7 linked regions of the Sus scrofa genome follow. The protein of the gene in region 6 interacts with the protein of the main gene of each other region in a pairwise test. Links are inferred from orthologs where the notes say so. Each region holds a gene or a part of one and is shown on either strand. Other genes may lie near its edges. The genes, in order: DGCR14, PPL, FABP4, SMARCB1, MRPL44, VIM and KIAA0408.

Region 1 (3,987 bases), on a different chromosome or scaffold from region 6:
TGACCCCTCCTCTCCCTCACCCACCAAACCCAGGCCAACAGCAGGTTGATTTTCTCCAAAAACAATCCCAGAATCCATCTTCTTTCCAGGTTCCAGGTTGATTTTCTCCAAAAACAATCCCAGAATCCATCTTCTTTCCAGGCTCCAACCTGGTGAAAACCACTGTCATCTCTCACCTTGACCACTGCAGCCTCCTCCAGCTTGTCTGCCTGCATCACTCTGATTCCTCTGTGATTCATTCTCCGTAAAAGCCAGGGTACAAGTCCGAACCTGTCCCCCTCCTGCCTACAGCACTCCAAGGGCTTCCACTGCTCCCAGAACAAAGACAAAACAAGGTTGCCTTGACCCATGACTCTTGACTTACCTGCAGCCTGGCCCTGCCCCTCTGGCATCAGCTCCTACCCCACTGTTCCTTGCACTCTGTGTATGCAAAGGTCTTCTCCCTCTGGCCTTCAAACAAGCTCTCCCCCTCCACCTGGTCAATGCCTGCAACCACTCCCTTCCCTGGAAACTTCCCCTGACTGCCCCCCAGGTAGGATTCTGCTCTCTTGCACTTGACCGTGCCATTTTATGCCTGTTTGTGGGATGATCTGACTAGTGTCTGTCGTCTGCATTTGACTCCAGCTTTATGAGGGCAGGAACCAATACCATGGAGACACTACTCCATGACAGAATAACTGCCTATACTGAATCATTCTGGGGCAGAACTTGTTTGGTGTAATTCACAACCTCCTTTTGGAAGAAATGATGGTTCGGGAAAATGCTCAGGCAATTTTCTGGTCCACTTCGATAAGAATTAGCTGTCTTCTTGGAAGCCAACTGTAGCATTTAGGGACTAGACATTTCTCGCATAAAGATTGAATAAAAACTTTGAAACGCGTATATAACGAAGTTTTCTGAAGAGTGTGTCTTTGTTAAAAAAATAGAAGTATATGTAGTGCTTATTTGCGAGAAATTGGAATTCCAAGGCTTCCAAATATTCGGCGCTGGAATTTTTCACAATTAGCGGAAACGACACGCCCTTTAGTCTCACCACCGCAGCGCCCCCTGGCACCCACGACCCACAAGGCATGAACAGAGCGGGGCGGGGCGAGGAATACGAACCCAAAGGGTCCCGGTGACGTCAGTAAGGAGCGCCGGCCGGTCTTCGGAAACACGCGGCTCTCCGATTGGTCAGCAGTTTCAGGCGCCTGCGCAGCTGGCGCGCCCCACCTCCGCCGGTGTCGCCTCTGCGCCGCCGGGGCGGTGCTGGGATAGTGATGGAGACGCCTGGGCCGCCGGCCCGGACCCTGATGCTTCCTGCCGCGTCCCGGCCTCGGAGGAAGCGCGCAGCCGGGGAGGCCGGGCCTGCAACAAGCAGGCAGCGGGTGCTGGACGAGGAGGAGTACATCGAGGTAGGACTCGGCGCGGACGACAGTGACGTCTGGGCCCGTCCCGCGTTCCCCCTGTCCCGCGACACTCTCGTCTCCTCGCGGCGGTGGAGCAGTCCGAGCCTCTGCTGTCGAGCGTGGACGGTCTGAGAGCCAAACAAACAGCGTGTAGAGCGAGGTGTCCCTGCTGTCAGGGGGCAGTGGGGGTTGAGTGTGTCTGTACGAGGTTGCGGGTGGGCGTCAGAGAAACAAGTTTTTATTAAACGGTCATTAGGAATTTAGGAGGATGGTGACAGAACTTCCTGGAGGGCGATAATAACAAGTGCTAAGGCTGAGGGTTCTAGAAACGGTGGCATCGTGGCATCGCTGCGTCGGTGGGCCTCCCACCTTTGAAGTAGGCCTTGATCCTGCCGAAAACAACGCAGGAGAAGCTGGCACAGGGTTTGGAGGAAGTCAGTTAAGTGTAGGGGAGTCCTCTGCAATGCGGAGGCAGGTGGCTTTAGGGAACACCTGGATGCACGGACTTATAGCTCAGGATCAAGTCTGTCTGGAGCTGCAGAGGTGGGAATCTCAACCAGTGCTGGTGGTGGGGTGACTGGCTGAAGTCATCCTGGTAAAGGGTTCAGATCAGAATAGAGGGTGTGGGAGTTCCCGACCTGGCTCAGAAGTTAACAAATCTGACTAGCATCCTCATGCAGGTTCTATCCCCGGCCTTGCTTAGTGGTTTAAGGATCTGGTGTTGCTGTGAGCTGTGGTGTAGGTTGCAGATGAGGCTCAGATCCTGTGTTGCTGTGGTGCAGGCCAGCAGCTACAGCTCCCATTGGACCCCCGGCTGGGAACCTCCACATGCCCATGGGTTCAGCCCTAAAAAACAAAACAAACAAACAAAAAAGGAAGTAGTGGTTTTGGTGGAATGAAGGTGGCAACACGCACATTGATCAGGCTGATGTGGAGGTGGAGTTAAGAAAGGAGAGCGAAGGAGTTCCCGTCGTGGCGCAGTGGTTAACGAATCCGACTAGGAATCATGAGGTTGCGGGTTCGATCCCTGCCCTTGCTCAGTGGGTTAACGATCCGGCGTTGCCTTGAGCTGTGATGTAGGTTGCAGACGTGGCTCGGGTCCTGAATTGCTGTGGCTCTGGCGTAGGCTGGCAGCTACAGCTCCGATTCGACCCCTAGCCTGGGAACCTCCATATGCCTTGGGAGCGGCCCAAGAAATAGCAAAAAGACAAAAAAAAAAAAAAAAAAAAAAAAAAAAAAAAAAGAAAGGAGAGCAAGAATGATGGGTTAGAGAGTTTCCCTTGTCGTGAAGCAGAAACGAATCCCACTAGTATCCATGATGATGTAGATTTGAGCCCTGGTCTTGCTCAGGGGGTCGAGGGTCTGGTGTTGCTGTGAGTTGTGGTGTAGGTTGCAGACTTGGCTTGGATCCTGTGTTGCTGTGCCTGAGGCATAGGCCAGCAGCTGTAGCTCCGATTCGACCCCTAGCCTGGGAACTTCTGTGTGCCTCAGGTGCGGCACTAAAAAGCAAACAAATAAATAAACAAGAATGATAGGTTAGTGAGGGAGAGAGAAAGCTTTAAAAGTGTCCCCAAGCTTTGGGGATCATTGGGCTGGACAGAACTTGGGAGCCTCAGTATGCACTTTAAGGGCTGAAAGGCAGATGGAACCTCTGACTTGTGTTCTGATCACTCCTTCAGGGCCTCCAGACGGTCATCCAGAGGGATTTCTTCCCTGACGTGGAGAAGCTGCAGGCGCAGAAGGAGTACTTGGAGGCAGAGGAGAATGGAGACTTGGAGCGCATGCGCCAGATCGCCATCAAGTTTGGCTCTGCCCTGGGCAAGATGTCTAGAGAGCCTCCACCGCCCTGTAAGAGGACTCCCTTGGGGGCGGGGAGGGGACTCCCACTGAACTGTTGCCTCAGGGCCCCTTTCTTTATTCCCACCCCGACTTTCCCCAGATGTGACTCCAGCCACGTTTGAAACCCCTGAGGTGCACACAGGCAGTGGAGTGGTAGGCAGTAAGGCCCGGGGCCGGGGCCGCGGCCTGGAGGATGGCACTGGTGAGTGTGTGTTCTTTTTTTTTTTTTGTCTTTTTGCTATTTCTTGGGCCGCTCCCTCGGCATATGGAGGTTCCCAGGCTAGCGGTCCAATCGGAGCTGTAGCTGCCAGCCTACACCAGAGCCACAGCAACGTGCAATCCAAGCTGCATCTGCGACCCACACCACAGCTCATGGCAATGCTGGATTGTTAACCCACTGAGCAAGGGCAGGGATCGAACCTGCAACCTCATGGTTCCTAGTTGGATTCGTTAACCACTGCGCCACGATGGGAACTCCATGTGTGTTCTTTTTGCTTGGGGCCTTCACCTTGGGGGCCCAGTGGTGTCCACAGGCAGACCACACCTTGTCCTTGAGGGTCTCTTTGCCTTAGTGGCACCCATAGGGTTTGGGAGCTACGGTCTAGGAAGCAGAAGATCTGGGTCCCGCTCCAAAAGTAGGGAATCCTCTGAGCCTCTGCCCCACCTCCACTCCCCACCACGAATGGGAACCTTGAGTTCCCTCTTGGTGGCCTTCTCACTGTGTCAGCCCTGTTGGTGGGCTTATGGGCCTTGGAGGGCT
Region 2 (3,500 bases), on a different chromosome or scaffold from region 6:
CAGGAAACATTGGCAGGAGAAGGCAGGATGAAGCAAAGTGCACAAAAGCAGGGTGGGAGTGACTGCCCGGAGCCCAAGGCCACCGTGACCCTGACTTTCCAGGTCACTGCGCAGAAAGATGAGGCCGGGGGCTGGGGTGGGAGGTACCACCTCAGGGAGAGGCCAGTCTCCCCACCAACCAGCCCCACTAACCTGGGTGGCCGCTCTCCCTGCTCAGCATCCGTCAGCTGAAGGAGCGTGTGACCAACCTCCGCGGGAAACACAAGCAGATCTACAGCCTGGCGGTGAAGGAGGTGGACCCGCAGGTCAACTGGGAGGCCCTGGTGGAGGAAAAGCTGGTACGGCCTGGGCTTCAGCTGGTGGAGGGCATGCGTGGGCCAGGAGACCCCCACTGTTTAAGCGGTGTCACAGTCCAGCCAGGGAGGGAGTCATGTTCTCAGTGTTTCTTAATATTTGTGTCCATGACATGAGCAAGGCTCAGAGAGGTGCAGCACCTAGCCCAAGGTCACAGAGCAGAAGTAGTGGAGATTGGGGCCCTCCCGGGATCGTTTGGGTCCTGCCAGGCTGGAGCCAGGGGCCAGATTTTGGGCTGGCTGCTGCCCTTCCTGTTTCCTTGCCAGCCCATCTCCACCATGGAGAAGCTCGGCCACTGATGTGGCTCTTAGCGAGAGACTCCCCCTCCCCGGCGGGCTGCGTGTCCTGAGCCCCAGCCCATACCTTCCCCCCCCCCCCCCCACCCCCGTGCTGTCTCTCTGCCCGCCGGCCAGGACAAGCTAAGCAGCCAGAGCTTCGGGACGGACCTGCCGCTGGTGGACCACCAGGTGGAGCAGCATAACATTTTCCACAATGAGGTCAAGGCCATCGGGCCCCACCTGGCCAAGGACGGGGGCAAGGTGTGTGCATGGGGGTGGAGGGCCCCGCTGGGACGAGGGGCTCCCACCCGTTCCCCCACCCTAACCCTGGCCCCCTGCTCCGTCCCCAGGAGCCGAACAGCGAACTGCAGGCCAAGTACCAGAAGCTACTGGTGAGATGCCCTGGGGAACAGGATGAGAGGGGATGGGACGCCCGGCTGTGGGGTCAGAAGCGTGTGCAGTAAACATTTCAAACAGACAGAGGGCGCTGAAGGCAGAAGAGACAGTACCCCGAGCCCTACCTGAGAGGCGCCCCTGCTCGCCTTGTGCTCCCAAAACCCCAAGGGACCCCCATCCTACTGTTTGCTTCTTTTTTGTGTGTGCTTTCTAAAATTATTAAAGTGTAGTTAATTTACAATATTGTGCCCATTTCTGCCACACACACATACACACACACACATATTTATATATATATATATACACATTCTTTTTTTTTTTTTTTTTTTTTTTGTCTTTTTAGGGCCATACCCGTGGCATATAGAAGTTCCCAGGCTAGGGATCAAATTGGAACTACAGCTGCTGGCCACAGCAACACTGGATCCTTAACCCACCCAGCCATGCCAGGGATTGAACCCCTGTCCTCATAGATACTAGTCAGGTTTGTTAAGTGCTGAGCCAAGACAGGAACTCCCTATATATGTTTTTGTTATGCATTTTAAAAATTATAATTGATTTACAATGTTACCGTTTGCGTCTTATTCTTTATTGAGCACCTACTGTATGCCAAGTATGATGCCATGTGCTTAATAAGCAAACATTTTGTTTCCCTTTCAAAACGTTTAAAGAATGTCCTTTTTTTAAAAAACCATGACAGCAGCGACTCGTCTCATCTCCTCTCGCATAGATGCTTTCTTGCTGTGGACGTGAACATGCAGAGGCGGTAACAGTGTAGCCATCAGAGGCCCTGGAGCCAGGCTGCCTCCATTCCTTCTGGTGGAGGCCTTGAGCGCAACCTCCTTAGCCTCTGGGAGCCTCAGTTTCCTCCTCTGTAAAACGATATTACTTCAAGTCCCTGGCTCACAGCGTGCATGAGGACTGCGTGAGTTAATGCGGAAGAAGCACAGTCTGGCACGTAGCGGGCTCCCTATACGTGTTCGCTGCTGTTCCTGTTTGCAGAGTGGAACTCACACATCCCTCCTCCTCCCCCGCCTCCCTGCCCTGTGGGAGTTTGGCACCATCCGCCTTATGTCAGGACATGTTAAAGGCAAAAGTGGAGGCATAGCTGCTGATGTTTATTGAGCACCAACTGCATGCCAAGCTTAGTGCCCTGTGGGCTCAGAGCTGTCATTATCCCCATTTTGCAGACGAGTAAACTGAGACTTCTCAAAAATGCCAGTTCCGTAAGGGTTTCATCTGTTTTGCTCACTACAGTGTCTGCAGTGCCCGGAGCCATGCCCAGCACTCAGTAGATGCTCAATAAACATTTGCTGAGCGGGGGAAGGGGTTTAGTGGGGGGGCTGGGCTGGGCAGGGAGTGAGCAGGGAGGCTCTTCCCCGCCTGCTGCAGCCCCATCCTCACCCTGCCTGCAGGCGGCGTCGCAGGCGCGGCAGCAGCACCTGAGCTCGCTGCAGGACTACATGCAGCGCTGCACCAACGAGCTGTACTGGCTGGACCAGCAGGCACAGGGCCGCATGCAGTATGACTGGAGTGACCGCAACCTTGACTACCCCAGCCGCCGGCGCCAGTACGAGGTAGACACTGGGTTCTGGGGCGCGGGGCCTGCAGGGACCACGGGCTGCCGGACTGGGCGCTGAACCCCTGCACTGCCCCCGCTGCAGAATTTCATCAACCGGAACCTGGAAGCCAAAGAGGAGAGAATCAACAAGCTGCACAGCGAGGGGGAGCAGCTGCTTGCCGCCGAGCACCCGGGGAGGAACTCCATTGAGGTGCGTGAGTCCTGGAAGGGGACGCCTCTTCCAGGCTGGCCTCAGGGTGGCCTCTGCTGTGGGCTGCCTGCATTCGAGCAGTCCTCAAGGTGGGAGACTAACCTCCTGAGTACGCCTGTCCATCTGCCTTTCCATTTTCCCGTCTCCTCTTGTTCTGTCTGACCCTGCCCCCTTTCATTCGTTTGATGCCCTCCCAGACTCCTGAAGCCCATGGGAGGGCTGTATTAGCTTCTTATCCCTGCTGTAACAAATGACCACAAACTAGATGGGTTTGTTTATGTATTTTTTTTAAGTTATACTGAAGTATAGTTAACTGCCAAGGCTGTGATTTTTTCTGCTGTACAACAAAGTGGCCCAGCCACACACGTCCACATAGCCATTCTCTCTCAGAGGCTTTGGGTGGCTTTAAACAATGGAATGTTATTCTCTCACGGTTCTGGAGGCCAGACGTTCGAAATCAAGGTGTGAGCAGGCTTGTACCCTCTGAGGCTCTGGGGGTGCATCCTTCCTCGTCTCCCTTCTTGCTCCTGGGGGCTGCTGGCCGTGCCTGGCCTTCCTTAGACTGGAGCTGGATTTCTCCTCCACCTGCTTCTGTGTCCTCACGAGGCCTTCTCACCGTGTGTCATCTTCTTTCAAGCCCACCCTAAATCCAGGATGATTTCCTCTTGAGATGCTTAACCAATTACAGCTGCAAAGACCCTAT
Region 3 (4,239 bases), on a different chromosome or scaffold from region 6:
GGGGTCCGAGCCGTGTCTGTGACCTACACCCCGGCTCCTGGCAACACCGGATTCTTAAGCAACTGAGTGAGGCCAGGGATCAAACATGAGTCCTCATGGTTACTAGTCAGGTTTGTTACTGTTGAACCGTAATGGGAACTCCCCATTTTTATTTTCTTGTTCAATGAATATATAATAACAAAAGCCCATGGGGAAACGTACACCACCCACAGTCTATATCTCTAAGCAACAGTCCTGAGTGAGCAAACATATGTTACTGTGCCATTAACATATGCAACACTTAAAATTACTATTGTAACATGACTTTATCAATTTTTCATAGCAACTTGCTTTCCTCCAGAAAATCCTGTGGTTTACAGAAGGCTCTGTCTCAAATATTTCTGGGAAGATTTCAGGATACTGACAAATCAATTCTTTGATGCAGATACTGCTCAGTTGAATACATGGTGTAGAGATTCACCACTCTGTAATATTTTAATTTGTTTTTTTTCTTTCCTGAAATTTGGGTACATTTATGTGAATATCTCCCATCATTCTGGTACAGGGAAGGAAGTGGGGGAGGGGGCTGAAATACATAATTATTTTAGAAAAGCATCCTCAGGAATACTTCACCATGTGAGAGAAAGAAATTAGATTTTGATGGCTTGTGACCAAACCACTTCTGATTATTTTTAAGGAAAGCAACACCATTGAGCTCTGGATAAATTTAGAGCTTATGATATAGTTCAGGAATTGGATGAATTTTCTCAGTATGGGAAGTATGTTTTGGACTGGGGTCTATTTTTTTAAGGGGTCCGTGAAAAGCAACATCATCCTCTCATTGAGGTTTAATTATCATTATTAATTAAATCTACTGTCCAGATCACAGTGGATAATTGGATTTACTCTTTTTTTTTTTAAATCCATCCCAAATATTTGAAATGAGAAGCTTCGGTTACTTTGAAATGCCATTACTCATTTTGTTTTAATTGCCAGGTAATTCTTAAGATAAAACTGTTCCCCAAAGCCTCTGCAAATAACTTAATATTCAAGGTAATTCTTACATTCCTCAATTCTAACGAACCACACAATTGTAATTTTAATAAAGACTTCAGAAAAGGGAGTCAAAATTTACCCCATGATAATAAGCCTGCTCTACTCCACACTGGGATAAATATGTATGAAAATAATAGGAGGAAATTCAATGCGCCGAACACTAAATGGTCAGAACGAAAATGTTTAAAATATTTTCTTAACGGCTAAAAATAAGTTGTACTCTAAGTCCAATGACCCGTTGCCAGGGAGAACCAAAGTTGAGAAATTTCTATTAAAAACATGACTCAGAAGAAAAACTGCAGAGGCTAGTAATGGTGGAAATGATATGATATTGTTCCTAATTGGTTACTCCTAAGATCACATGTTCTGGGCATCTTTAAAAGGAAGTTATCTGGACTGAAGAGAGTCATTGCACCTTCCTGAAGGTTACGGCTTCTTTCTCACCTTGAAGAATAATCCTAGAGTGCTCACAAAATGTGTGATGCATTTGTAGGTACCTGGAAACTTGTCTCCAGTGAAAACTTTGATGATTACATGAAAGAAGTGGGTAAGGAAATACATTATGGGATAGCTGGATTTACAAGTTTTTCTCTGGGGAAGAGTAATTTATGGCTGTTTTTCACTCTGGAAGCACCAGCCAGACATGAAGTACTGCTTTTTGTATAGAGACTATAAAGTAACAACTGAGAATCACTTGTTTCTAGAAACATTCTAGACCAAAGTCACAACTAATGCTTCTTAAAGGTGAACTGATATGAAAAAGGATATAAATGAATTGTTATAATGTGCAGAAATGACAAGATTTTATTTGATTGCTAAACCTGGGTATCTTTGGCTTACTTGGCTCTTTGCTTCTTGTTCTTTCATTCCTTTTGCATATAAACTAAGCAGTAACTTGGAAATAAAACTATATTTACTTCTTAGCATGCAGTATTTTCCACTGGAAACTGAAAGCATTGTATCTGTCATCTTAATGTAATTTTTTGAGTAACATATGTTAACCAATTATTTGATTGTTTTAAGGTCAATCTATTAAAGTGTGTGGCTATCTAAGGGGAGAACAAAATCTTAATTTCAGAAAATATGTTCCTTAAAGATCTGAAGTATTTGACTAAAAATTACATGAGATGGCATAGTATTGTTGATAATGGAGGCTTTCGGGTTTTGAGACTCTGTTGACATTGTTTGTGTGTTCCCCGATAGTGACAGAAGCAAAGCAAGGGAGAGGTGAGATATCTGTCACTCTGGTAGCCACCCTCATCGTGAACAAGGTGTATCCAGGGGCTGAAAACTGGGGAGGGACTTTTTTTCACAATATCTTTAAGGGTTATGGCATACTCCCTAAATCTCAAGAGTTAAGCTTCTTCTAAACCTTATGGTGTATTTTTTTTGTCTGTAACTACTGTTTTTCTTGTTTATAGGCAAGAGGGTAATCAGGGACTTTGGCATGAATGAGACCAAGCTTTCTAAAATAACAACTAGTTGTAATTCAATAAACAAATTAACATGTACTGATACAGATATGCCAGGATCTGAGATTATTTAACTGCTGATTTTTAGAAACATTTTACACTGTTAGTATTTATATATAAATTTTAGACCATGCTGTTTTAAAATGATAAAGTGTTAATGATAATGAAAGACAAAAAGTTATGTCTTGAAATTAGCTGGTTTAATTGATTGCCTATGGTAAGCAGATATTGCCTTCATCAGCCAGATGAGGACAGAAGCAAAAAAGCGGAAAGTACGATTTTTCTCAGCTCGTCCCATCTGGAATCACACTCCACTCTGCATCCATTCACGACGCTGATTCATTCTGTCTTTGATGTCTTATTTTGTAGAAGAGCCAGGGCTTGATGAAGCAACATATTATCTTTCTACCTGTTCCCATTTTCAGACAAGGAGCTAAATCAGAGCTGCCATGGCTTGTTCTGCACAATATTCCCCTCCTTGACCCTTCTATTTCTAAACTTTGGTATCTATTAGTAGCCTTTAGTCAAAGAAGCAACTTAGATTTGTGCACATGTTTTCTTTTTTAATCCAACACATTTATGACAATCATAAATTTTGTATAACATATGCAGTGTCAGCAAGGTAGTGCTCTCTGTGATGGGCTGTAAATTATTCATCCCATGCCTGTCACACATGCAAAATACATTCCTCTTCTTTTAAATAGAAGAGTTTTCCATTTAAGTGATTGGGAATCAAAGGATTAATTTCTAAACTTACTACAACAGTAATTTCTTAAATTTTAAAGTTTTCACAATCGATGCCTAAGTCCTCATTAATATTTTCTATAATTTATTGGGAACAACCTTATCATTCTAAAGTGTAATGAATGTAGGAAATATTGTTTGGAAATGGTTTTGGGAAAATTAATCAAAATCTTCATTGCATGTAATTTGGAAAAAGCCAAGAAAACTAGACTTGGCAGAAAATGCCATGAAATGGGATTTTTGGATACCCCAACAGATTCATTTTTAATTGAGTAATTCTATATCAGGCCCCCAAAATACTACTGAGAATTCTTTCCTTGACTCAGGATTAGATCATTTTTGTTAACTAAGAATCCAAGGTCAATGTGGCCCAAGTGTGTCATGAGCTGAGTGACAAGTGGTTGCCCTCATTGTTGAGATGGCCAGTTAATTGAGAGTGTAGTGGCTTTTGAAACATATGTTCCAGGAGAATCTTTGTACATATTCTTGTTCAAAAGTAACAATGAATCTCCTAAGAAGTTGTTTCTGAAACCCTGAGGGGGAAATTTAAAGAATGGACTTACATCGTATCATGCTTCAAGTGTTCTTTAAGTATTAGCCTACTTTATTTACCTGCAGAAGATGTTTAAATAAGACATTTAAGAAACTCTCAGGAGACTTTCTCCCCCTCCCCCATTTTTTGGGGGTTTTTTTGTTTTTGTTTTTTAGTCTCACCTGTGATATGTAGAAACTCTTGGGCCTGGGACTGAACTGGTGCCACAGTGGTGACAACACCAGATTCTTAACCTGCTGAGCCACAGGGGAACTCTTGAAGTCTTTCTCCTTTTATGCACATGTGCATCCATCTACACACACACACACACACACACACACACACACACACACATACACGCATTCCTTCTTAGATAAAGATGTGAGAGAAAATTGTAAACTTGATCTTTTTCTTTTCCCAACTGTAGGAGTGGGCTTTGCCACCAGGAAGGTGGCT
Region 4 (3,500 bases), on a different chromosome or scaffold from region 6:
TGTGGTCCTCGAGGTTTGAGGCTGTGAGAAGAGGCTAGGTGGGGCGAGAACACTTGACCACACAGGACCTTGCTGAGGTCTGGCCAATTGTAGCCATCCCCGTGAAGCTTGCCCTTGGTGCAGTTACATTCTCAGGAGCTGTACACATCTCCTTGCTGTCACCTGGTTGAGTGCATGAGCTGCCCACAGAGTCAGAAACTGCCCGAAGATCTGTAAAAATCCACAGGCAGCCTGACATTATCTCTGAGAGATTTCTCTACTGGGGAGGAAATGGTGAGTGGACACACACCTACTTGTGCATGGGATGCTGGCCTCACAGTGGCTTTTTCAGAAGGAACCTGTGTTAGCTCAGGCTGCTATGACAAAGTACCAGAGGCTGGGGGTATAACACCAGGTTTGATTTCCCCTGGGTTCTGGAGGCTGGAAGTCTGAGATCAAGGTGTTGGTAGCGTTGGTTTCCTCTGAGGCTATCTTCTCCCTGTGGACCTTCCTGGTTGCCTGAGTCAGAAGAGGGAGGACATGGTATTTCAGCTCTGAAGTGCCCTTGTGTACCCTCTCCCCAGACATCTCACTGGTAGAACTAATGGAGCTGTGTGGTCTTAAGCCTGGGAGCAAGGGGGGCCTGGTATGGGGGAGCGCTTAGGGTCTTGACACCTCCCAGAGGTGTGTGTGGGGATGTGTGTGGAATGAGGGCCAGAGGGGGTGCTCGTCTCTTTCCTCCCCTTAACCTTTTCCTTCTCTTCATCCTCATCTTCATCCGGGAGGTTTGGCAGAGGAGGAAGGGGTAAGGGAGATCAGGGCCCAGAGCGATGAGATGAGGCCCTGCAATCCAATGGCAGTCCCTACCTCCTCATTGCAGAGAAGCTGATGACCCCTGAGATGTTTTCAGAAATTCTCTGTGATGACCTGGATTTGAACCCGCTGACATTTGTACCAGCCATCGCCTCTGCCATCAGACAGCAAATTGAGTCCTACCCCACAGACAGCATCCTGGAGGACCAGTCAGACCAGCGGGTCATTATCAAGGTAGGCAGCTTCCTGCCCTGCACTGGGGCTTCCTTATCCTGCAGAATGTGGGGCGGGACAAGTGCGGAGTTCATGAGGCATTGAAGGTACTTGGAGGCCTTGACAGAGCTTGTCTGGGGTCCACGCTGTGGGATGGGACTTCTGAAAAGCTGTCTTTCAGGCAACACTCTTATCCCGGGAAGGGCATGGGCTGACTTCTGAATAAGATATCACATTCAGGGGGTGCTGTGTGACATTGCCAGGCATGGTGCAGAGCCCAGTGGTACAAAGGAGATGAGGCTAGATGATAGGTAGAGCAGGGAAGCCCACAGTAGGATGAGTACCCTCTTCCTGTGGGCAGGCTGAGTCAGCACACTCCATACTGTCTCAGTAATCTGCTGCCATCCTGGGGGAAGATTCTGTATTACAGGTGAGGAGGTGGGCACCTAGAGAGGTCAGGCAGGTCACCTGTCCCAGCTTCTCCACTGAGAAGTCTTAGAGCTGGGATTTGGACCCAGGCCTGTCCTCGGCAGAGCCTGCTTGGTGTGAAGCATATATCTTTGTGGTTTTGATTTGCATTGCCCTGTTGATTAGTGACTTTGACTATCTTCTCATGTGCTAATCAGCCATTTGTTTATCTTCTGTCTGCTTAAGGTCCTTTGACCTTTTTGAATCAGGTGTGTTTTGTTTTACCACTTTCTTATATGTTCTAGATACCAGTCACTTATCAGATATGTGATTTGCAAATATTTTCTTGCATGCTGTGCTTGCCTTTTTATTGTGTTGATAGTGTCCTTTGATGCAGAGAAGTTTTCGATTTTGTTGAAGTCCAATTTGTCTATTTTCTCATTTATTGCCTCTGCCTTTGGTGTCATATCTGAGAATTTATTGCCAAATTAAATGTCATAAAGCTTTTCCTCTATGTTTTTTCCTAAGAGTTTTATAGTTTTAGCTCTTACATTTATATATTCTATACAGTTTGAGTTAATTTTGTGTATGCTATCAGGTAAGGGTCCAAATTCATTCTTTTGCATATATATATCTTGCTTATCCAAAACCATTTGTTGAAAACACTGTCTCTTCTCCTTTGAATAATCTTGGCACCTTTGTTGAAAATTGTTTGACCACATATTTGGGGGTTATTTCTGGGTTGTCTGTTCCATTGGTTTGTGTGTCTATTTTTATGTTAGTACCACAGTTTTGATTACTGCAGTTTATTTTAATTTTTTTGTCTTTTTTTTTTTTTTTTCTGGCCACACCTGCAACATATGGAAGTTCCCAAGCTAGGGGTCGAATCAGAGCTGTAGCCACTGGCCTGTGCCACAGCCACAGCAACGTAGGATCTGAGCCACTTCTGCGACCTACACCACAGCTCACAGCAGTGCCAGATCTTTAACCCACTGAGTGAGGCCAGAGATCAAACCCATGTCCTCATGGTTACTAATCAGGTTCTTTACCGCTGAGCCACAAGGGGATCTCCTGATTATTACAGTTTAGCAATAAGTTTTGAAATTAGGAAGTGTGAGTCTTCCAACTTTGTTCTTTTTTTCATCATTGTTTTGGCTGGACATCCTTTGTCATTAGATTCCATATGAATTATATCTTTAATGTCTTTCAGCGTGTTTTACAGTTTTCATTATACAAGTCTTTCATCTTGTTGGTTAAGTTAATTTCTTAGTATTTTATTCTTCTTGATGCTATTGTAATTGGAATTTTTTCTTAATTTCCTTTTCAGATTGTTTATTGTTAGTGCAGAGAAATGCAGCTGACTTTTGCGTGTTAACTTTGTATCCTCCTACTTTGCTGAGTTTGCTTATTAGTCCTAACAGTTTATTTAATAGCATCTTTAGGGTGTTTTGCATATAAGATCATAACATCTGAGAACAGAGGACTTCTTCCTTTCCAAGTAGATATCTTTTATTTCTTTTTCTTGCCTAATTGCTCTGGCTAGAAATTCCAATGCTGTGTTGAATAGAAGTGGCAAGAGTAGGTTTCCTTGGCTAGTTCCTGATCTTAAAAGTCCTTAGCCTTTCACCATTAAGTATGATATTTACTATGACTTTTTTCTTTTCTTTTTTGCTATGCGCTTTTTCATGTATTGACTTTATTATGTTGATATAGTCTCTATCTGTTCTTAGTTGGTGAGTACTTTTATCATGAAAGCATGTTGAATTTTGTCAAATACTTTTTTCTGCATCAGTTGAGATGATCATGTGATTTTTGTCTTTCATTCTGTTCATGTGGTATATTATTACACTGATCAGTTTTCTTATTGAGCCATCCTTGCATTGTCAGAATAAATCTCACTTTTTGTTTTTGCTTTTGTTTTCTTTTTAGGGCTGCATCTGCGGCATATGGAAGTTCCTGGGCTAGAGGTTGAATCAGAGCTGCAGCTGCTGGCCACAGCCACAGCCACAGTGACTTGGGATCCTTAACCCACTGAATGAGGCTAGGAATCAAACCTGCATTTTTATGGACACATTATATTGGGTTCT
Region 5 (4,117 bases), on a different chromosome or scaffold from region 6:
GTTTTTGTGACCTGAAGTGACTGCCTGACTATCCATTATGTAAGAATTCAAAAACTCATGTTTTCATCCAAAAGCAAAGGATAAAACATCTTCCAGCTAACAAATTCTAAAACAACAGTGGAATTAAGCCATACTAATTATTTAAATATTTTAATTAGCTAAACTACTGGCTAACAACAAGCTAGGTATATGTCACAGGCATCAGAAATCCAAGATTTTATCACTTAAAAGAGCAGAACAAGAGCCAGTATTTAAGCATGGTGCTCCCTAACCACACTTGGCCCTCCAATAGTGTCCTTCACTCATTCATCAGACTTCTACTGAGCATCTACGGGTAGGCACTACCCTTGTACTCATGGATATAAAACTAAAGACATGGCTTGCAGTCCTTATAACTCACAACCCAAAATTCAATATTCACCTCTGATGCTGTCCTCAGTAAGAGACAACTGGAAAAATTAAGACACTACCATAATAAAAAAGCTTTAGGTCTTTCTCAGTTTGGGTAGGGAGAACATTTCACAGGTAACCTGCCAAGAAATTCAGGATAAAAGACAACTTTTCTTTCTGTCCACCTCAAGCACATCCCAGCACCTGCAATTAGGAGGTCCCAGCACCAATCACTTACCCTGATGAAAAGTGCAGTCCTCTCTGGTCCACTGCTCTGTAACAGGGCTCCAATCACTGCAAAGAAAGTCTGCCTTAACACAGGCGGGGGAACAGGAAACTCTGCACTCAGCGCTAACTGCTCCACAGCCAGGTTTCTAGCCACATGACACACAACTTCCTCACTGGTGAGAAAGTCAACTAGACTTGTAACGCCTTCAGTGGGCAAGTCTGGGAAGGCGTCCTCAAAAAATTGTGTGAGGCAAGTTTGTGAAAAAGATATCCCTTGTTCAGATAGTTCTTGATTATCTTTAAGGTTCAGAAGAGCAGCTTCTTTGTCTATTCCAAGTTTTTGGCGTTTGGCCTCCTCACTTTTAATATAGCAGCTATTAACAAATGCAGTTTTGAGAAGATCTAGGGAAAAGGTTTCCTGTAACCGATGGCCAAATGCTTGTATTTCAGCATGGTAATCCCAGTTGGGCTTCTCTGAACTGAAAATGTAAAACAGAAGACAGAAAAAGTAGGTAAAGAGAACAAGATGCTATTATGACGCAAACATTTTTCACTGTGATGCAATTTTATTCATTATATAAAGGAAATTTTAAAAGACTGACTTTCATTTTAATTCCAGACTCTGATTTTCTGAAAATTAAAACTCAAGTCCGAAGATTATTTGTGGTTCTTTGCCGGATTAATTTTCCCTAAATCAACCGCCACATCGAAACGGTTTTTCAGTATCAAAGACTAAAACATTATCCTAACTTTTGGGTTCTTTATTTCTGCTCTAACCACAGACCTACTTTATACTTAGACATGAAATACAAAGTATAATTTCATAGGTTCAAGCCATAAACAGTAAGCACATTTTATTTACCCAGTATTTTACTGATTTAAGTTTTGATAGCATCCATTTAAATGAGCAATTAAATAAACTAGTATCAATATTATAAGTATGTTAAAAGTTCATAATCATTCTCAAGAGTGACTAAAAGGTCTTAAAGAAAACTCTTTTAAGTAAAAAATGGCAACAAACTATAAAGATCTGGATTATAAATCAAAATGTATATAATCTGTAAAGTTTCTTCCAACTCCAAAAGCCTAATCTCAACAATAATCAAAGAAATGCGAACTAAGAAACACTATTTTGTTATTCTTTTTAGGAAAAGAACTTAGTATTTTGTTTTTGAAAGAACTTTTAAAGAGTACAGAACTATGATCACATATATTCCTAAATTAGGTATGTAAACCAGATCAACTTTTTTTAGAGGGGAGGGCAATATTAAAGTACCTATCAAAATTTCATACTAAATTTCCAAAGGAGTAATAACTTCAAAGCTATTCACTGTTACATCAGTGGTGACAGCAGTAACATGGAATTCGAACACCCATAAATGGAGCCATAAAAGAGTGAGGTTCATTTACCTATACGACCACAACTACGTGTCAGAGATACATTATTAAAGAGAAAAAGATGCAAAACCTCATGTCTAATAGGATCTTTTGGGGGGGCGGGGGGGGGTAGCTATAAAGATCTGCATCTCTTTCTACGAGAACTTCTACTACTGGAGCAAGGTTAATCAAGGCAAAAACCAGACGTCAAACCGTTTTCCTTTTACTCTGGACAGTGGACTTGTGACTGTACACTTAATCTTTTTCCTTGCCCCAAATCCCGAAGAAGTCTCAGGCAAGACAAAACAGGGGCCACAGCACCCAAGCCCAGATGAAGGTGACCCAGCCGGCCTTATTTCTCGTAACTCTCACTTGACAGGATTCTAAGTGGGAGCTCCGAAGTGTCGGAACCCCTCGGCAGAAATCCATTCCCTTGCCTCGGGCCACTCATGTCCGTCCCGCGGGTGCCTCCACCGCACAAACTCCTCGTCGCCAGCCAGGGGCGCACTAACGACGAGCAACCCGCGCCGCCGCCCGGCCGAGGCCGCAGAGGAGACCTCGCCGGGTCCTCGACAGCCACCCTGACCCCTTCCCTAGACGACTCCTACCGGCGCACGGGCGGCGGAGGGCACCTGAGGAGGCGCCACCGCTCCAACTCCTTCTGGAAGCGGTAGGCGGCGCGGAAGCCCTTCTTTGCTCCCCGAACTGGCGGGGCGAGAGTCGGGGCGGCCGGTGCCAGGAGGCGGCGAGGTCCCCACTGCAGCAGCCTCACCAGCCCGGATGCCATCGCAGGGGAGAGAGCAATGGAGGGCGGAAGGAAAAGAGCCGGATCAGTGTCCCCGGTAACACCGTCCCCCCCGGAACTGGTGGTGGAAAGCGAAGGTGGAGCGGAGCCAGAGCGGGGCAGCAGACAGCCGAGGCTGTTTTACTGCGCATGCACACTCTGTGGGGTTGGTTTGTTTGCTCACCTGGTTTTTACTCTGGTGAACTTGGTTTGAGGTCCGTTTGGATCCAGAAATTTCTCGAAGTTGCTTCGTTTTGTTGGTTGCTCTCGTTCCTTCCTTTCATTAATGTAAAACAGAAGAACAGATTCACGTTTAAAGAAAACACATTCTCACTTATCAGACACAACTTAGAATAGATTTACAAGGAGATCCTGCTGAATAGTATTGAGAACTATGTCTAGATACTCATGTTGCAATAGAACAAAGAGTGGGGGAAAAAACGCAATTGTAATGTATACATGTAAGGATAACCTGACCCCCTTGTTGTACAGTGGGAAAATAAAAAAAAAAAAAAAAAAGAAAAGAAAAAGAAAACACATTCTCAAAAGGGAGGAAACACTTCTTAGCAACATATTATTTAGAGTTCCAGACCATCAAGCGAAACACTGTTTATGTGCAAATATTTACCTGGCATATCTCCAAAAGCCTTTCTTTCAAGAGACCTAGAATAAGAGATACTGACTTACCCAAATTAAAATTGTTACTTAAAAAAAAAATCTAACAGTACCAGTTTTTATTAATCAAAGAAAGGAAGTGGGATGGACTGGAAATTTGGGGTTAATAGATGCAAACTATTGCCTTTGGAATGGATAAGCAATGAGATCCTGCTGTATAGCCCTGAGAACTATATCTAGTCACTTATGATAGAGCATGATAATGTGAGAAAAAGGAATGTGTATGTGTGACTGGGTCACCTCGCTGTACAGTAGAAAATTGACAGAACACTGTAAACCAGCTATAATGGGGGGAAAAATCATTGGATTAAAAAAAAAATAGGAGTTCCCATCATGGCACAGCGGAAACGAATCAGACTAGGAACCATGAGGTTCTGGGTTTGATTCCTGGCCTCGCCCAGTGGGTTAAGGATCTGGCTTGCTGTGAGCTGTGGTTTAGGTCACAGATGAGGCTTGGATCCAGCATTGCCGTGGCTGTAGTGTAGGCTGGCGGCTGTAATTCCAATTAGACCCCTAGCCTGGAAACCTCCATATCTATGGGTGTAGCCCTAAAAAGACAAAAGACCAATAAATAAATAAAATAAATAAATAAATAAATAACAGTGGACTTATAGGTCTTTTTTCTTTCATTCTATAGCAATATGATTATATTGCTTTCCCACT
Region 6 (3,935 bases):
CGAAGGGTTCCAGGCAAACTCACAATAGTGACATTTGCAGAGCGGAGCTCGCATAAAGGGCTCTCAGAGCATAAGTGGGCCCGCTAGGACGCCACACCCCAGGAATGCGCCTCGGGAGGGACCCGCAGAGCGGGGAGAGAATTAAGGCAATCCACAGCGGGGGAGCGGTACAGCAAGGGGTCCTGCAGCGCGACCTTGGCAGCCCCACCGGCCAGAACGAACTGAAAGGAGGTAAACAAAACACTGCCTAAAAGAGGCTTGTACAAAGAAGTGAAAATAAACCCTTCATTTGGTTCTGAACTATTTTTTCTTAAATGCCAGGCAACCTTCAGGGCCCCCCTTTCCAAAACAAAAACACAAAAGCAGAGGGAAGAATTTTATCTCCCTCCACATCCACCACTGAATCAAGATGTTTCTACTTTTGCAGTGATTTTGGAGTTAATCCGTTCAATACTCAACTCTTCTAAACACTGAAACACCACAACAATAACGACGAAAACCTGTGATTTTTAAATTGCTACGAAATCACTGACAGACTCTCTTCTCTGTTCTGCGCTTTACTCATTCCCAACAAAACCCCTTCAGTTGAGTGATTTACCTAGAAAGATTTTCAGGTTGGAATCTGAACACGCCCTTGTGCCCTGGACCAAAAGTTTTCTCCTTCTGTAGACAGCTTTATCCCCCTCACTCCAAGATGAATTGCAGGAATTCTTCTGGAAAATAGGCTAAGGGACCTGTGACATTTCTCAGACAAGTCACCAGAATCCTGCGCTGTGCATCATGCGTGAACTAAAATGAACACATAAATCTAGTCTCAAACATTCAGTCCCTTGAGTTACATAACTGCCTTTTATTAATCAAATTAAACATTTAAAGCAACATCTACTTAATTCTATAATTGGTGTAGATTATATCTTTAATGTCTCTCACTACAGCAGAAAAAGCAGTGATCACTCAATTGGATTTTGCAACTACAGAGTTTCCTCTTTCACCCAGAAACGTTCAGATCTTGTTAAAAGTCGGGTGCGGTTTTACGGGGGGAGGGGGTGGAGGAAGGCGGAGAGGAGACCGGAGGGGAGGCGGGAGGAAACTTTGCAAGAAAAACCCTCCCCAAGTGCCTTTGTGAGGCCGGAGACCGGCGTTTGGCGGTTACAGAGCCTCCGCGGAAGTTTCTTACTAAAGAGAAGCCAGCATATTGGAGCAAAATCTGGATTGGGCGCGTTCCTAAGAATTTAGGAGCGCTCTAGACTCCAAACCAGCGAACGGCACATAAGAAAGCAGAGCCCAGCTCGAAGTTGGGTAAAACTTAGAACCAACAGTACTCGCACAGTGGCCCGGGGAGACGAAAGTCAATCTCGTCTAACGGTTTTCCTGAACCGCTAGGACTCCTCAACCTCGGTGGCGGGACAGCAGAGCGCAGTGACTCACTGCCAGTGGTGACTCAGCGACCCCACCCATCTCCCCTGGGCTTTCCTTGGCCACTTCCTTGCAGCTCCTTGTCCAAAGCCGGGCCCAGCCGGTTAGGTCCCTGAACAGGAACTCCTACTACAGGAGGACGAGGAAAGTTGGGGCCGGATTGGTCCCGCTGTCCAAGCAGGCGTGCGCAAGGCTGCGCAGAGCCCAGAGCCCTGCGCCCCGGGCTGTGCGCGCCCCCACCTCGCGCTCCAATCTCAGGCCCTCTTTGTTTCTTTCTCCACGCCTTCCGATCTGCTGGATCCCTCACTCCTCTCTTCCGGCTCCTTTACCCGCGGGGCCCCCCCACCCTCGCGCTTCCAGGCGACCGCAGCCAAGGGGCCGCGCGCCCCTCCCACCCGCACGCTTCCTCCTACGCCTCCCTAGCTGGCTGGGTGCCCGGGACCCTTGTGGTTCAGTCTAGGGAGGGCTCCCCCATCACCGCGGGACCCAGCCTTTTTCATCACCCAGAGGTGAGCACACCTCAGGCCATCCTCAGGAAAGCCCCAAAAGTTCCAGTTCAGCCTCCAAGTTACTGGGGGACTGAGCATAGTCCCGGTTGCGGAGGAGGGGGGAGGAGGGAGGCTCCCGGGCTCCCCCGCCCCAAACCCCAGGCCAGCCTTCCCGCCTCTCGCCGGGTCCCCATTGGCTGGCGCACTCCGCCGCCGGGATGGCAGTGGGAGGGAACGCTCCATCCTAAGGCGGTTATAAAAACTGCGCCCTCGGCGGGGTCCCGTCCTCTGCCACTCTTGCTCCGGGGTCCCCGCGCCAGAGACGCAGCAGCGCTCCCTTTGCCCACACCCACCGCTCCCTCGCTCGCCTCTCCTCCCGGAGCCAGTCCGCGCCACCGCAGCCGCCCAGCCCACTGCCACCTCTGCAGCCATGTCCACCAGGACCGTGTCCTCGTCCTCCTACCGCAGAATGTTCGGCGGCCCTGGCACCGCTAGCCGGCCGAGCTCCAGCCGGAGCTACGTGACCACGTCCACCCGTACCTACAGCCTGGGCAGCGCGCTGCGTCCCAGCACCAGCCGCAGCCTCTACACCTCGTCCCCGGGCGGCGTGTACGCCACGCGCTCCTCGGCCGTGCGCCTGCGGAGCAGTGTGCCCGGCGTGCGGCTGCTGCAGGACGCGGTGGACTTCTCGCTGGCCGACGCCATCAACACCGAGTTCAAGAACACCCGCACCAACGAGAAGGTGGAGCTGCAGGAGCTGAATGACCGCTTCGCCAACTACATCGACAAGGTGCGCTTCCTGGAGCAGCAGAACAAGATTCTGCTAGCCGAGCTCGAGCAACTCAAGGGCCAGGGCAAGTCGCGCCTGGGGGACCTCTACGAGGAGGAGATGCGAGAGCTGCGCCGGCAGGTGGACCAGCTCACCAACGACAAGGCCCGCGTCGAGGTGGAGCGCGACAATCTGGCCGAGGACATCATGCGGCTGCGGGAGAAGTAAGACTAAGCGCCCGCGGGGCTTCAGGAGGGCGGCAGAGGGGAACCGAAGCTAACACGCCCTTGGGGATGTGGCTGGGGCGGTGGCTGCCTGGGGTACGCGGTGGGCGGGGGGAGAGCGCTGTGGCTGCTGCGGCGCAGCCCTGCCCTGAACCCAGATCTTGCAAGTTAGCATTTACCCTCTACCCCGACTCATTGCCCAAGAACGACCAAAATTCAGATTTCTTAAAACTACCACTTTGTTGTTACTCGAAGGCTCCTGCAAACGATCAGTGCGATTCCCCCAAACTTTGAGAAAGTTTCCTGGTCCCCTCTGACGGGCTGCTCTTTCCCCAGGAGCGGTGTAGGAAGCGAGACAAAGGGATTGCAGAATCTTCACGGGGGAGTGGGGTGGTGGCATTCGCCTCCCAGGTCATTGTAGCAACTGCGATTGCTTTTTACGCAGCGGCCAGGGTCCCTTTGAGATTTGCCAAAGGCAGCAGTTCTAAAAGCCATAGTCGCCGACTGCCACAGAGGTGGCGCAGCAACTCGGCTGTCTCGCGGCGAAGACGTGGTGGTTGGGTGTGGTCGCCACGCCCCTGGCGGTTTCCCAGTTCCCCTTCGGTTGATGTGCATCTCTTTCAGGTTGCAGGAGGAGACGCTTCAGAGGGAGGAAGCCGAGAGCACTTTGCAGTCTTTCAGACAGGTTTGTAGATTCTCTTCCCACTTGCAGCCACCCGACCCCACCCACCCAACCTACGGGCAGTTCTCAAAGTTACTTAACCCAAGTCTAAATCGTGCAAAACTTCTCGTCTGCTCGCCAAGCCCCCTAGTGGCAGAAAGACCACAGTTGGGAGCTTCTCCGCCTTAAAAACCCTCGAACGATTAAACCGTTCCTTCCATAGGACGTGAATAAAGTCTTTTTGACTTTGTTTCAAGATTTTTTTCCCCCAAGACATGACTTTTTTTTTCCCGTTTCGGTTCTGCAACACACTGATACTCTGATCTCGAACAGTTACAGTTTGATTCAGACTTCGGTTTGCCAAAGTCAAGCTAGCT
Region 7 (4,208 bases), on a different chromosome or scaffold from region 6:
TAGTGATGACCATGATTTTTCTCTTTTTATATTCTTTTCTCTGTTTGTTTCTAGGATGTAATATTGTCCTAATGTTTTATTTGCTAGCGTTAAATGATTTGAAGAAAATGTACAGCATCTACTCCTCTCTCTGTGTTTCTCCCTCTCTCTGTGTGTCTCATTAAATCTTAATTATAAGAAACAGGAATTATTTTTGCAGGTGTCCTTTTTTGGTTGTTTTCCTGATTTACGTAAAAATAATCTCCCATCTTTTCCCCTTCTTTTTCCCAAACGAGGAGGACAATGAAGATTTGAAATGCCAGCTGCAGTTTGTGAAGGAAGAAGCTGCTTTGATGAGAAAGAAAATGGCCAAGATTGATAAAGAAAAAGACAGATTCGAACACGAGCTCCAGAAGTACAGATCCTTTTACGGGGATCTAGACAGTCCTTTACCCAAAGGAGAAGCAGGGGGACCGCCCAGCACCAGGGAGGCTGAGCTCAAGCTACGGCTGAGGCTGGTGGAGGAAGAAGCCAACATCCTGGGCAGAAAAATCGTCGAACTGGAGGTGGAGAACAGAGGCTTGAAGGCAGAGCTGGACGACCTGAGGGGCGATGACTTCAATGGCTCGGCCAACCCTCTCATGAGGGAGCAGAGCGAATCGCTCTCGGAGCTGCGGCAGCACCTGCAGCTGGTGGAAGACGAGACGGAGTTGTTGCGGAGGAACGTGGCTGACCTGGAGGAGCAGAACAAGCGCATCACCGCGGAGCTCAACAAGTACAAGTACAAGTCCGGCAGCCACGAAAGCTCACGGCACCATGACAACGCCAAGACTGAGGCCCTACAGGAGGAGCTGAAGGCTGCGCGCCTGCAGATCAACGAGCTCAGTGGCAAGGTCATGCAGCTGCAGTATGAGAACCGTGTGCTTATGTCCAACATGCAGCGCTACGACCTGGCCTCACACCTGGGCATCCGCGGCAGCCCCCGCGACAGTGACGCCGAAAGTGACGCGGGCAAGAAGGAGAGCGATGATGACTCCCGGCCACCACACCGCAAGCGCGAAGGGCCCATAGGCGGCGAGAGTGACTCGGAGGAGGTGCGCAACATCCGCTGCCTCACGCCCACCCGCTCCTTCTACCCAGCGCCGGGGCCCTGGCCCAAGAGCTTCTCAGACCGGCAGCAGATGAAGGACATACGCTCAGAGGCCGAGCGCCTGGGCAAGACCATCGACCGGCTCATCGCTGACACCAGCACCATCATCACCGAGGCACGCATCTACGTGGCCAACGGGGACCTGTTCGGACTGATGGACGAGGAGGACGATGGCAGCCGCATCCGCGAGCACGAGCTGCTCTACCGCATCAACGCTCAGATGAAGGCCTTCCGCAAGGAGCTGCAGACCTTCATCGACCGCCTGGAGGTGCCCAAGTCCGCGGACGACCAGGGCGCCGAGGAGCCCATATCCGTGAGTCAGGTACAGTTCTGCCTATTGCGAGCCACGGCGATGGCGAGGCTGGTCCATGGAGCCGCGGTCCCAGGTGGGGCGACTCCACGCACCGACCTCCACGCCCCGCTTTAGGGAAGTCCCAGCTCAGAGCCTCTCTGGGCTTGGAAGCCCCACAGCGCACTTGTTCTTTCACACTGTCCTTCTTCAGGCCTGAGGTTTTCGTAAGTCAATTACTTAGTAGTAACTCTTCATCCTCTGTTTTGTTTCAAAGGGAAATTTAACCCCCACTTCGTTTTTGTGTAAAGAGGAAAGGACTAAGATAGATATTATTGAAGGTTAGCATTTGCAGTATTAACTCTACTGATTCTAACAGATTGAGCTGCAAGAAGATCCCGAATAGAAATGTTCAATTGCTAATCTGTGGTTTTCGAGCCAAGATTCAAATAATTTGTAAATCAGTAAATGATCAGGGTTGATGCATAGCTATTGGCAAAAATGTGGAAACCAGCGGTAAAGAGAGATCATACTGTGTCTGGAGCCCTACCAAGAGAAGCAAATAGCAGCCGCTGCTGTATCATAAGTTGAAGTAAAGTGATCTTTATTTCTAAAGGAAATCACTGTCAGCTCTGTAGCGGAGAATCTCAGGACTGGGGAAGAAGTGTTATACTTTAGCTTTAAGGCAACACTAATTCCAAGAAATAGTAATAACTATTCCCGAACAGGGAAAACCAGCATTTTTCCTTCATCCTAATTTGTAGAGGCACACCTGATGAATTGGACTGATCTCTTCTAGCCAGGTATGGTGACCAAAGACCACTGCACTTTGTCAGAGTTAACCACATAAGAGAGCTTATAAAACCAACAGGCAGTGCTCCCCCTCTGGCAAGCCTGGTATCTTGTATCCATTGAGAACCCACAGAAGTACAACAGGTTGCATGGCTTTTAAGACACGCAAGAGGTTTAAATTTAGAAATCAGTTTATACACAGAAGCATGACATTGGATTAACTGCCTATTAGGCACAACTAGAAAAATTGCCACTCTATCGCTTATTTATCTTGCATGCTGCTTTGCTTTGCTCTTACAAAAAAAAGTTTTGTGATAAAATGTGTTGAATTTTGAAATGTTAAAGATCTCTTTCTCTGTGTTTTATATCAGATAATTGTTTTTTAGTTTCCTGACTGAAGATTTTTGAATACCTTGAGCATGTGGTTTTTCAATTTTGCCCTCAGGGGAAGAAATCAAAATCAGAGTGAGAGAAAGTATTGTGTATAGTAGTAGCCTTCAGATCTTGTAAATATATGTTGGGGAGGGTTCTTTATCTTAAATTGAATGAATGCTGAGGTTAGTTGATATAAGTTTAAGTTTTAAAAATTATTATTAATTAATTCTTCTCTTTGTCTTTGCATTTACCTTCCCAGATGTTCCAGCCTATCATTTTACTTATTCTCATTCTTGTATTATTTTCATCACTTTCTTACACAACGATATTTAAACTCGTCTTCCTTTTTACACTGTTTTTTGTACTGTAAATCTTTCATCATTTACCATTCATTGTAGTATTTCAGTTTGTTTGTTTTGTTCACCCTTCAAGACAAGAAGTAAAAGAAGTATAATTTCTGTAGTAACCAATGCTATAAAAACACTGAAGACTGCTTATTTCTTTAAAAAGACACATCTTACCCCTACCGAATTCAATAAGAAGCCCAAGCGTTAAAGATTTCAGGTAAGGGAGTAAGTATGACTTCTCTTTTTATAAATCATTTTAGCTTTTCCCTCTTTCTTTTGTATCTTGATTTCTCCTGTTCTTGATAAGTAGCTGTATGAATGACTGTAAAAATTGCCTAAGTCTCTCAATTATTTTTCAGTAGTTGACTATTATGGTCTTTCAAAAGCTGGACATTCACAAGTTGATCACGTTTTAGAAAATAATATAGATTTAAAAGTACCTTTGCTGAGTTGCATCAGACTAACAAGGTAATTTTTATATCCAGTAATTATCAATGAAAATTATGGTGAACAAATGAAATGTGACCATCATGGAACCTGAACAATTTATTGCTGTGTTGATGGCGGTCTATCCAAACAGATGTGTTTGGAAGCATGAGAGTGGGTTAGGCCTTAGTTCACTGAGAAATTAATTATCCTTATCCTACTGTATTTGACTAGCTTCGACCATTCCAACCAAACTAGCATTTCTGCATTTAGCTATTATACTTTTTTTTTTTTTTTGTCTTTTTGCCATTTCTTGGGCCGCTCCCTTGGCATATGGAGGTTCCCAGACTAGGGGTCGAATCAGAGCTGTAGCTGCCAGCCTACACCAGAGCCACAGCAATGTGGGATCCGAACCACTTCTGCAACCTACACCACAGCTCATGGCAACGCCAGATCCTTAACCCACAGAGTGAGGCCAGGGATCGAACCCGAATCCTCGTGGACACTAGTTGGCTTTGTTACCCGCTGAGCTACAACAGAAATCCCCCCCTTTTTGGGAAATATTTTGAGTGGGGGAAAAAACAGTCATTCTTTAGAACTTCATTAAATCACAGTCTAAAACCAGTAGCATAGTTCCAGTGGGAGTTGCTCTCTATACATAAACTTACTTTGGTGACCTTCAGCATTGCTCTTTTTCCTTCTACTTAAAGTGACCTGGATAGGTTGCATGTACCCAAAAGGCCCTATTCTGTCCATCTCTTTGGCAGTTTATATATGGAAAGCTGGACTGTACCAATGCCACCAAGATTTAGAAATACTAGCATTCAGAGTTCCTGTCGTGGCGCAGTGG

Evidence for each region.
Region 1: the proteins of VIM (region 6) and DGCR14 interact in a two-hybrid assay, tested with the Homo sapiens proteins (2 studies listed by BioGRID and IntAct). The link is inferred for Sus scrofa from reciprocal best matches to the Homo sapiens genes VIM and ESS2.
Region 2: the proteins of VIM (region 6) and PPL interact in binary tests that used the Homo sapiens proteins (3 or more experiments, as listed by UniProt). The link is inferred for Sus scrofa from reciprocal best matches to the Homo sapiens genes VIM and PPL.
Region 3: the proteins of VIM (region 6) and FABP4 interact in a two-hybrid assay, tested with the Homo sapiens proteins (2 studies listed by BioGRID and IntAct). The link is inferred for Sus scrofa from reciprocal best matches to the Homo sapiens genes VIM and FABP4.
Region 4: the proteins of VIM (region 6) and SMARCB1 interact in binary tests that used the Homo sapiens proteins (3 or more experiments, as listed by UniProt). The link is inferred for Sus scrofa from reciprocal best matches to the Homo sapiens genes VIM and SMARCB1.
Region 5: the proteins of VIM (region 6) and MRPL44 interact in a two-hybrid assay, tested with the Homo sapiens proteins (2 studies listed by BioGRID and IntAct). The link is inferred for Sus scrofa from reciprocal best matches to the Homo sapiens genes VIM and MRPL44.
Region 7: the proteins of VIM (region 6) and KIAA0408 interact in binary tests that used the Homo sapiens proteins (3 or more experiments, as listed by UniProt). The link is inferred for Sus scrofa from reciprocal best matches to the Homo sapiens genes VIM and KIAA0408.

Annotation. Positions count from the first base shown.
Region 1 is NC_010456.5:50,953,219-50,957,205, reverse strand, and holds the start of DGCR14 (protein DGCR14), read left to right. Parts: upstream 1-1,187; 5' UTR 1,188-1,259; coding exon 1,260-1,394; intron 1,395-3,067; coding exon 3,068-3,236; intron 3,237-3,327; coding exon 3,328-3,429; intron 3,430-3,987. UniProt on the Homo sapiens protein: May be involved in pre-mRNA splicing.
Region 2 is NC_010445.4:37,491,487-37,494,986, forward strand, and holds part of PPL (periplakin), read left to right. Parts: intron 1-217; coding exon 218-338; intron 339-767; coding exon 768-893; intron 894-982; coding exon 983-1,024; intron 1,025-2,440; coding exon 2,441-2,602; intron 2,603-2,689; coding exon 2,690-2,797; intron 2,798-3,500. UniProt on the Homo sapiens protein: Component of the cornified envelope of keratinocytes. May link the cornified envelope to desmosomes and intermediate filaments. May act as a localization signal in PKB/AKT-mediated signaling.
Region 3 is NC_010446.5:55,094,961-55,099,199, forward strand, and holds the start of FABP4 (fatty acid-binding protein, adipocyte), read left to right. Parts: upstream 1-1,439; 5' UTR 1,440-1,509; coding exon 1,510-1,582; intron 1,583-4,210; coding exon 4,211-4,239.
Region 4 is NC_010456.5:49,882,044-49,885,543, reverse strand, and holds part of SMARCB1 (SWI/SNF-related matrix-associated actin-dependent regulator of chromatin subfamily B member 1), read left to right. Parts: intron 1-859; coding exon 860-1,026; intron 1,027-3,500.
Region 5 is NC_010457.5:125,731,102-125,735,218, reverse strand, and holds the start of MRPL44 (39S ribosomal protein L44, mitochondrial), read right to left. Parts: upstream 2,801-4,117; 5' UTR 2,783-2,800; coding exon 2,604-2,782; intron 1,098-2,603; coding exon 629-1,097; intron 1-628. UniProt on the Homo sapiens protein: Component of the 39S subunit of mitochondrial ribosome. May have a function in the assembly/stability of nascent mitochondrial polypeptides exiting the ribosome.
Region 6 is NC_010452.4:43,515,306-43,519,240, forward strand, and holds the start of VIM (vimentin), read left to right. Parts: upstream 1-1,135; 5' UTR 1,136-2,334; coding exon 2,335-2,897; intron 2,898-3,521; coding exon 3,522-3,582; intron 3,583-3,935. UniProt on the Homo sapiens protein: Vimentins are class-III intermediate filaments found in various non-epithelial cells, especially mesenchymal cells. Vimentin is attached to the nucleus, endoplasmic reticulum, and mitochondria, either laterally or terminally.
Region 7 is NC_010443.5:35,741,352-35,745,559, forward strand, and holds the start of KIAA0408 (uncharacterized protein KIAA0408 homolog), read left to right. Parts: upstream 1-1,451; 5' UTR 1,452-2,844; coding exon of another isoform or gene 2,845-2,955; 5' UTR 2,956-3,149; intron 3,150-4,208. Other genes in the region: protein SOGA3, read left to right, coding at 276-1,451, 2,845-2,955.